Linked DNA regions of Zea mays. The protein of the gene in region 2 binds, or shares a complex with, the protein of the main gene of each other region. Links are inferred from orthologs where the notes say so. Each region holds a gene or a part of one and is shown on either strand. Other genes may lie near its edges. The genes, in order: 30S ribosomal protein S31, chloroplastic-like; 30S ribosomal protein S13, chloroplastic-like; rps4.

Evidence for each region.
Region 1: 30S ribosomal protein S13, chloroplastic-like (region 2) and 30S ribosomal protein S31, chloroplastic-like share a complex: the UniProt entries of both Arabidopsis thaliana proteins name them as parts of the 30S ribosomal subunit. The link is inferred for Zea mays from reciprocal best matches to the Arabidopsis thaliana genes EMB3137 and PSRP4.
Region 3: 30S ribosomal protein S13, chloroplastic-like (region 2) and rps4 share a complex: the UniProt entries of both Arabidopsis thaliana proteins name them as parts of the 30S ribosomal subunit. The link is inferred for Zea mays from reciprocal best matches to the Arabidopsis thaliana genes EMB3137 and rps4.

Annotation. Positions count from the first base shown.
Region 1 is NC_050098.1:170,389,914-170,393,680, forward strand, and holds 30S ribosomal protein S31, chloroplastic-like, read right to left. Parts: upstream 2,504-3,767; 5' UTR 2,446-2,503; coding exon 2,250-2,445; intron 1,033-2,249; coding exon 968-1,032; intron 886-967; coding exon 754-885; 3' UTR 541-753; downstream 1-540.
Region 2 is NC_050096.1:271,762,982-271,766,710, reverse strand, and holds 30S ribosomal protein S13, chloroplastic-like, read right to left. Parts: upstream 2,376-3,729; 5' UTR 2,259-2,375; coding exon 2,163-2,258; intron 1,569-2,162; coding exon 1,329-1,568; intron 1,049-1,328; coding exon 872-1,048; 3' UTR 633-871; downstream 1-632. Other genes in the region: uncharacterized protein LOC100281127, read right to left, coding at 1-126. UniProt on the Arabidopsis thaliana protein: Located at the top of the head of the 30S subunit, it contacts several helices of the 16S rRNA.
Region 3 is NC_001666.2:46,646-49,261, forward strand, and holds rps4 (ribosomal protein S4), read right to left. Parts: upstream 1,118-2,616; coding exon 512-1,117; downstream 1-511. UniProt on the Arabidopsis thaliana protein: One of the primary rRNA binding proteins, it binds directly to 16S rRNA where it nucleates assembly of the body of the 30S subunit. With S5 and S12 plays an important role in translational accuracy.

The DNA.
Region 1 (3,767 bases), on a different chromosome or scaffold from region 2:
TTTATATTTGTATGTTAATTAGTCTCTTTGCTGTTAAATTTCGTGTAAGTTGGTCCTGCCGATGGAGAATCGAGCAGCTCCCTTTTTTTGTTCTATCAACTATGCTGTAATTCTGGCTATGTATCGGCAAAAACAATTCTATATGCTGAGTTGGAGTCGGCAAAAATTCATATATGCTGAGTTGGAGACAGCAACTTGTTTGGATCATATTTTGCTGAGACACTCGTGAGAGATTGGCATAGCAAGAGACCTGAAAGTGTTAGCTGAAGTTTGAAACAAAACTTACATCATTGCAACACATATTAATAACACAACACGATCATTAGTTCAGCACGCAAGATCTTTGCACATTGCTGACGTATGAATAAATCGCTAGTTGGATTTTGTTTTACCTGTTAGGGCTGGATTGTTCGGTTAGAAGAGGATTGAAAGAGATTAAATCTTATTAATCCCCTTACAAATGAAACGTGTAATCTCTCCGTTACCACTAGATGAATCATTTAATATCTTCTAAAAAAAACTTATTTCGACACAGTTTCATTTTGAAGAGAGTAAAGAACTCAGCAGCTGGAAAGGAAAATAAAGAACCCAGTCAGTAGTAGGAACATTACTAGCCAAATGAAAGTGTGGCAGCCTACCCATCGATAATTATAGGCGAGGAAATAATTACTTAAAATATGTAGTATTTGATTTGGTACAAACTAGGCCAATTAAGCTCAGGGCAAATATAAAGCAAGGCAGAACTCGGACAACCTATTCCAGGATGTCCTCGTCAATCTCGATTGAAATGATCTCCCCATCATCGAACTGATCCTTCCTTGGAGGAGCAGGAGGGGCAAAGAGCCGCGCAGGCCCAGTTCCCTTCTTCTTGTTGCGCGGCCTCGCCTAGACATGATCAGACAGCTAAATAAAACAGAACAGGGGGAAAAAACCAAAAATGCGATGTAAATTGTGCTGGAGCACTCACATTGCCATATGAATGGTTGAACCTTTTGCCCCTTTTCGTTTTCTTGTCCCCTCTCCCGCAGTAGACTGAGCAAGACCAGATAAAGTTTAAAACTGTCTGTCAGTCCACAGGATCATCAGTATTGATATAAACAGAGGCCAAAAGGGACAGCACCCCAGTTGGGTTCGTAGTACAATCAGAGAATAAAATCCTGAAGCAGGCTATGGACACTAGAATTTCAGAAATTGATTTCAAATTATGATTAACTAAAACTTCTTTGAAGTACACGCATGAGAAGCATCCATCTTTGACTCTCTGTATTAATAAACCAGAAACAAGTGTTTACAACAGCTGAGGCCAGTGGCAACAGAGACGACCAAAACTATAGGCGGTAGTGATAAACAAGAGATTCAGCTTCCTTGATTGGCACTCACTCCTGACACCGTGTGAAGTGAATCAGTCAACCGGTAAAGGTTTAATAATCTACTACAGTAGTAGTTTTCAGTTCATATATATGCTCCTGCTCCTCGATACCGTAATTTTTTCGTGTGGAACAACTTAAGCTCTTAAGAATCCAGTTTCTAGAAACTAGTTTATAAAAAAAAAGGTTAATGGTGTTTAGAATCACCTTAATTTTTATAAATTGATTTTAGCTAGAGAAGACTAGCTTCTTGGTTTTTTAAGAAACTAGGAATCCAATTTCTATAAATTAGTTTGGAACCACGTCAATTTCTATAAAAAAAACTAGGTGCTTCCAAACAGACCCTTAGGCCATGTTTGGAAGCAACCTAGTTTTTAAGAATCTAGTTTCTAACTTCAGTTTCTATAAAGTGATTTATAAAAAAACTGGTTAATAGTTTTTAGAACCACCTCAATTTCTATAAACTGCCTTTAGCTAGATGGGATTAGCTTCTTGGTTTTTAAGAAACTGAGAATCCAACTTCTATAGACTGGGACAAAAGCTAGTATATTTGGAACCACCACAATTTTCATGAACCAGTTTGTTAAAAACTGGATGCTTTCCTTGGTCAGTCTAGTTGACCCAGATCGACTAACAGCATCACAACCTCCATCTCTTCTGGGGAGTACATTTCAGTAATAAATCCCTTGACTATTTCATAAAAAGAAGAAAAATCCCGATTGAATTGGAACGAATTTCCCAAGTGTCAGTGTAATAGTAGTCATTGCCTTTTCTCCCTTATTGCGTGGAAAACAGTAGCCATTGCTCGTGACATGTGTTAGAAAGAAACTACTCCTACATCGGACAAAAACAAGGGGAGTGAGGAGGTAGCTGTTTAATTACCGTCAAGAACTGGAGTGACGGTGGCCGACAAGACGGCGCCGACGGCGAACGCAGCCCGGGCGCGGGGGAAGGCGGCGGAGGCTGCGAGCGCGTAGGAGGAGGTGGAGACGTAGGATGAGACGGCGCCGTGGTTGTGAGATGGGAGGGCCGCGGCGGCGGTGGACATGGCCATGCCCTGGACGGCGAGCAGCGCCATGGGGGCAAGAAGGAGCGAGCAAGCGCAGGGAAGAGAGACTAGTGTGCTCGGGAATGGTGGTGTGGTGGATCAGGTTGGATAAGGGATAAAAGGGCTCGCAGTTGGAGCCACAGCGCACATCTAAGATGGGCTGCAGGGCTGGTGTGGGCTGGGCCAGAAGTAACCTTATCGGCCATTACTGTAAAGTATGGTGCACACACCTAGCCAGGCCGTCGTCGAGTCTGGTCAGGTCTTGGATCCTTTTCTTTCTCTTTCTTTTTTTTGATAATTAATATAATTAAGATGACCAAAGCTTAGCTTTGATTCATGCTAACAGAAAACAAAACCCTAGATGCTCCAGCGTCGTTCTCCGGCCCGTGCTTCTCCTGCTGAGTTAGGGTTCTGGTCCTTCTCGAATCTCGATTTCGGCGGTGGACTGGTGGAGGCAGACACTTGAACCCATGGTGGCCGGCCTCACGGCACCACCCGTGCAAGGTGCCAGCTTTCCGGACTGGATGAGCTCATGGCTTGTGCATCAACAAACCCTGAGGGTAGGGTGAGCGTCAAGGAGCGGCCCCGAGCTGTCCCCCACCCCCGTGCAGGCAATTTTCGGTCCTGGAGCTGGAGTTAGTAGTATTTGGGAGCGTGTGGCTGGAGCGATTCCAATTCATTTCAGCAACCGAAATACCGAATGGAGGAGTTGCCAAGGTCACTGTCAGGCACTCACCTGTGCACTACTGTACAGCACAGATTGAACGGTCGCTATCAGGTTCATGTCAACCGAGCAGAGTTTCAGTTTCAGTGCCCAATCATGAATAAAAAACCGATGGCCAAAATGTAGTGGTGGGAGAACGCCTCAAGCAAAGTGCCTTGCACGGAGTGGAGACGGTTCGATGGCATGACCTGACCACATGTGTCTTCTTTCTTCTGGAACCTCTAGAAGGAGAGGAACGGATGAATCCTCAACAACGCTCACGATTATGAATGGTGCAGGTGGCCACGAGAATTGAAGACGATATATATAGAGCAGAGAAGTAGAGGCCCCCTGATTTCTTCATTCTGAACAGTCCGGCAATTCGCCAGACGAGAAATGTCAAGCTAGTATATTATATATAAAACCCGAGACATTTTCCTTCTTTATTTACAACCATTACAGCGAGCAACGCCACCATGCAATAAAGCCAGCGCAACGGCGTGGCATGCCCACGAGAGTATCGTCTGTTGGTCGGCAACGGCTTCGCTTTGCCAACTCGATCCGCAGAGGATGGTCGGCTGCGGGTAACCCTTGTCGCTTGTACGCCGCGTCTTCTTCCCAGACCCCCTTCCTCTTCCAGAGCTTCAGA
Region 2 (3,729 bases):
ACGGCGCGACCCGGCACCGCCGCACGGGGAAGCGGAGGGAGACGGTGGAAGCTCGAGCGGGATTTTTGCGTGCGATTGCGGTGGAAGTCGTGTGATTTTCAATAGCAGGCCAGCAAGGCAGAGCATATCGCGTTTATTTGAGTGGTGGATAGAGCGCGCGGGCGCGGCGGCCCGGGTGCCGCCGGATGGGGGAGCAGGTGGTGGTGTCCGTGCACCGGTGCAAGCTTCGGCAAATAGCACACCACGGGATCACAAATTCACAGTCATCCGTCATCCGTGCTCTGCAAGTTGGGGGCTGATGAATGCCAGGAAACCTTAATGGCTTCAATCAAGTGATTCAAATCATCTTTATTTGAAACCAAACACAATTTAACCATCGTCCTTATCAAGAAAAAAAACATAACCATCGACGGGTAGCCAAAACTTGTTTTTTCAACTACATTTGTTAAGGGGAGAGATCTCGAATCATAACTCTTCGCCACATGATCATCTCGTGCAGGGATGAAAACAGGTATACCAGTGGCAGGTGAATAATCCCCAGAACACTGGATCTGGTAAATAGTAATTCGTCAGGAGCAGTCTGGACTCCTTGCATCGAGCATAGGTTGGGACAGAGGAATACAAATGGATGTAAACAAGAATTTGATCTTCATTTATAGAACCGACCCATATGAGCTAGTATGTCATTGCTACAAAATCTGCAGCAGCTGATGGCTACCCCATGATTTGTCAATGGCAGCATAAAAGCTCGAAACAAAACACCCAGCAGTAGTAGCGCTACACACACACACACACACACACACACACACAGAGAGAGAGAGAGAGAGAGAGAGAGAGAGAGAGAGAGAACTTCAATACATGGCAATACGATTTATTCATCCTGGGAGGCGGGTGACTTCTTCTTGGCAACTGAAGCCCTCTTTCCCTTAAGTGTCCGGCAGTTGTTCTTTGTCCTCTGGCCACGAACTGGGAGTCCAAGCTTGTGCCGGATGCCCTTGTAGCACCTAATCTCCTTCAGCCTCTCAATCGCCACACGGTTGAAACGTTTCTGTAAAGCATACCAAACAGCAGTGTGCCAGCTCTCAGCGTTTTCACTCCCTTGGAGTCCAACATCGATATAAAACTAAACAGTTAGGACAGTCAGGAATCATCTATGACTAAGGAAGTGAAATTAAATACGCAGACCTGCAGAATGAACTTCAAAGCTTTCAAGGAATCATTGATATGTTAACTAAGTAACTATGGTAACCATACAAGTCGTTAATCATCATGAACTACTGAATCAAATAACTGCAGCGAATAATCGACAAAGGGATCAGGGACGTTACAAGGTCTCCCTCAATCATGTACTTGCCAACCTCCTTACGGAGGGTGATGACCTCCTCCTCGGAGAGGTCCTTGGTGATCTTGTTATCGAAATTGAGGTCCAGGAGGATCTGGCGTGAGCGTGAGCGTCCAATGCCATGTATGTACTGCAGCGAGTACTCCACCCTCTTGTGGTTTGGAATCTCAACACCACCAATACGGATGCACTCGATCCGCAAGCCACCGTGACCGATTCCTCCCTTCTGTCAGGCCACCCAACATACAGCACAATCAAAAACCGCAAAATAAACCACCAACATGAGCCTGGGTATGAAGGGTCATTCAGATGGGGATAAATTAATGATGTATCGAAGTTCATGTTTGTGTCGTATTCAGGCTGTGCGCACAATGCAACAGCGATAATAAACAACAGCTCCTATAATCAGGTTCAGAATTTCAGATCCACATCAAAAGTCTAAAGAAACATCCTTTTCTTTGCTACTAGAATCAGTCATACTGCTGTACCATGAAACACTAGCATTACTGACAATGCGCTAGAAAATTCATATGCATGAACCAACACGCGCCATTTCCTACCAATGTATTGAAAATTAGCAGTTCACAGAAGACCATCCTTCCAACGCTCCTGACACGACCATCCCAAGTAGGCCTTGTTTTTGGATACTCTCGTATTCAGCACAATCAATATGTATTGATATAGATTAGAGTGAAACTAAAAAACTAATTTACACCCCATTCCAACAAGGCCGTACAGGGTTAGAAAAACAAGACACCCCAATCAGACAAGCTCCCTGGACGCAGGGGGGTATAGGGGTATAGCAGAAGGCGGCACTAACCTTAGCGGGGAAGGATGCGGAGGAGCTGCGGCCCCGGGTGGAAAGGGACAAGGAGGAGGGTGCGATGGGGACGGAGACCATGGAGAGGGTCGCCATTTTTGCTCTCCTGTGGAGCCGCGCGGAGGGCGAGAGGCCTGTGCGTCCCCGGTCTATCGGATAGAAAACCCAAGGGCGGATGATGATAAGGTTGCGTATGCGTAGGCAACCTTCGATGACCTAGTGGCCTTTCCCTATGTGTGTTTTGGACTCGTTGGCCCAATAGAAAATATAACTTTTTTCTACTCGTTCGTTCTAAAATAGTATTTCCTCTCTTCTAAATTAAAATTTATCTTATATTCATACAATATTTAATGTATGTATTTTAAAAGTGTCTAGATTTATCTTTATTCATTTAAATATAGACATAAACACTGAGAACTAAAACAACACATATATAAAGTAAACCCTTCAGATCTTTGATGAATCCAGCATTAGTCTACAACGAATTTTATTTTGGTACAGAGGGAATATTATTTAAGATGAGTATATATATAATGCATCAGTTTAAAATTTACAAAACCCACCAGGCAAATCATATACACACATAAGTACATAACCTCTATTGACTAGCCCTAAGGGCTAGTTTAGAAACTTAAATCTTCTCCTTGATTCCCGAGGATTCCCCTCAATCCCTAAGAACCTCAGAGGTGATTTAAGTTTCCAAACTAGCCCTAAATATTCCAAACAAATTATATCTAGACTTAACACACCATCAAAATCCATAGTTCATATTGCTGGATAACTCTCTCTCCCTTAGAGATGGCAATGGGTACCCGCGACCCGATACCCGATGGGTATTTACTCCATTAGGGTATGTATGTGGCTAAATATTCTACCCGTGGGTCTGTTATTGGGCAAAAATCTTCACCCAATGGGTAAACGGGTATTAGAACGTTCCGCCTTCACCCATACCCGTTAACCCGTGGGTATAAAATACCCAATATAAACTTAGCCCAAGTATGAACTTTGACTTTAGTCATCCATCTTTTTTACTATTTAACAACCTTTTAGGCCATAATGTCATAGAAGGCTTAACGACAATTTAATGACCATGTAATGTGCTATGTAGTATTATCCTAGTGTTACTACTTTATCCAATTATCTTTGGTGTGTTGAATGGATGGTTAAATGATACTAGAAATTTTGTAATGGTATTTAGATGGATATACTTGACATTTTTATCATATAATATTTTGATAGATGTTTAGCTTTTGTGGGTACGGGTGACCCGATGGGTGACCCATACCCACATGAGTAAGGGTATGAGGGTAAATCCATACCCGCCAGTGTATATGGGTGACCCGATGGAGTTATTTTTGTGTCGTGAGTATGGGTATGGGGTAGTAATACCCGGTGGGTATTTACCCATTGCCATCTCTACTCTCCCTTACTCAAATCCAATGGACAATATTATCTAGATCATCTATCACCCCTCCCTCCCTCCCTCCTCACAACCTCGCGGCCCTCAGCCCTCAGCCTTCCACTCCCTCCGCATCCCCGCCGTCGCTGTATCAACTCCTCCCCTCGT
Region 3 (2,616 bases), on a different chromosome or scaffold from region 2:
GATCCTTCCACTTAGATGAAAAGGAATTTTTCCATCCAATCCAATAGAGCCATGGAATTCCCGAGCCGTTGTGGCTGTACCTGTACTGCAGGAATACGAAAACTCGCTATTCACTCAGTTTATTTTCCATAATAAGATTATGTAGGAGAGATGGCCGAGCGGTTCAAGGCGTAGCATTGGAACTGCTATGTAGACTTTTGTTTACCGAGGGTTCGAATCCCTCTCTTTCCGTTTCTCTTAATTCATCAATGTTAGCGATCACAATGTATCAAATTAAATAACAATTTATTCCAACAATAATACCTTTAATTAATAGAAATTCTCTATAGCAAATTACTGTGGTATGTAAAATACACATCGAGGAAATAACAAAAAAGAAAAAAGTATCCTAGGGTTAATCTATTTCTGCTAGGTGAACGGGAAAATACGAATTAAGAGCCTTAGGTCGATTTAGTTCGGGGAAAGGGGAAGGGGAAAAAAATTCTATGAACCTTTCCTTTTTTCGTTAAGTTCAAGTCTGGCGAGAATAATATTCTACAACTAACAACTCATTTATTTTGAGACCGACCCACTTCCTATCTAGAATTTTTTTTACTAGTCCTTTATATTGCAATGTGTCAACCGTCAAATGCTTTGGTAATTTGCCCGGATCGGATGAAGCAATATAATTTTGAACCAAACGTTTTGATCGTTGGTTATCCTTCGTAGTAATAATATCTCGGGGTTTGCAACGAAAGCTTGGTATATCAACTATACGACCATTAACTAAAATATGTCTATGGTTAACTAATTGTCGGGCCCCAGGAATGGTTGAAGCCATACCCAATCGAAAAAGGATATTATCCAAACGCATTTCAAGTAATTGTAGTAAAACCTGACCTGTGGATCTTTTTGCTTTTCCAGCGATATGTACATATCTAAGTAATTGTCGTTCTGTCAGACCATAATGAAAACGCAATTTCTGTTTTTCTTGAAGACGAATACGATATTGCTCTTTTTTCCCAGAATGGAATTTCTTTTTCTGATTACTTCCGGATTTAGGCGTTTTTCTAGTGAGTCCTGGTAAAGCTCCCAGACGGCGTATTTTTTTTAAACGAGGCCCTCGATAACGGGACATGAAGACTCCTTTTTTATTTTATTGAAATTTCATTTTACACAATAAATTTCGTTCTATTTACATTACAGAATACAGCGAAATTCAAACAGAATTAAACTAAAGGATAAACAGAGTAAAATCTACTAAAGTAACACAAAAAATGGAGTAACACAAAAAATGGAATTTCATCAACATCTGGATTTTTTGTATATATATTATTTATTTTTATGCTTTGTATCTAGCAAAATTGTAAGGTAAAACGACATAATAGACCCTGATTCCCCATTTTATTCGGAGAAAAAGAGAAATTCTTGTTCATAGAACATCGATAGAAAAAAAAGCCGACTATCGGATTTGAACCGATGACCCTCGCATTACAAATGCGATGCTCTAACCTCTGAGCTAAGTGGGCTTACATAACAGAAATAGTGTAACAAATAAAAATATATATATAGGGAATCTGTAAAATGTCAGATCTTAATTATTAATCTTAGTTATTAACTAGTTCTAAATTGGAAGTTCCACTTAGATAGAAAAAAAAAAATACTAGAATTTCATAAAGATAAAGTTAGCTTGATATGCTTAACTAAATGATATTCTTAAATAGGATTATAGAATTTATTGAACTTTCTTTTTATTTCTCTAATTCGCAAATGGATTTTTTTAATAGAATCTATTCCAAATTCTATATTGAATTTGATTTCAGATATTTTCAATTTGATATGGCTCGGAGGAATAATCTAATACATAGAAAAGAAGAAAAAGAAGAATATATATGAATAATATAATAAAGAGAAAATGCCAAGAGATTGGCATTTTCATTTGATCATTATATACATTTTTGAGATATTTTGTTTTTTTATTTGTTAATAATTTAAGGATAAATAGTTCACTAAGGAGAAGATAGAATCATAGCAAATGAAATTTCTAATTCAGTTTAGAAAAAAAGAATGAATATCAAGCGTTATAGTATGATTTGGAATACTCTAAAAAAGGAAGGAGGGAGGCGGGAGAGAGAAAAACTTTTGGATATATTCATTCCGATTGAATTGCAAATATATCAACGATAAAATCAATGCAATTCTGAATTGCAATAAGCGAGCGGGGTGTCTCAAATAGAGATGAGTTGCTAGACTACGTCGAATAATGAATTCAATGATTCAAAAAAAACTAAGAGATGGATTAAATTATACAAGGAATCCTGGTTTCAAAGAAAAGTAAAATGGGGATATGGCGAAATCGGTAGACGCTACGGACTTGATTGTATTGAGCCTTGGTATGGAAACCTGCTAAGTGGTAACTTCCAAATTCAGAGAAACCCTGGAATGAAAAATGGGCAATCCTGAGCCAAATCCCTTTTTTGAAAAACAAGTGGTTCTCAAACTAGAACCCAAAGGAAAAGGATAGGTGCAGAGACTCAATGGAAGCTGTTCTAACGAATCGAAGTAATAACGATTAATCACAGAACCCATATTATAATATAGGTTCTTTATTTTATTTTTAGAATGAAATTAGGAATG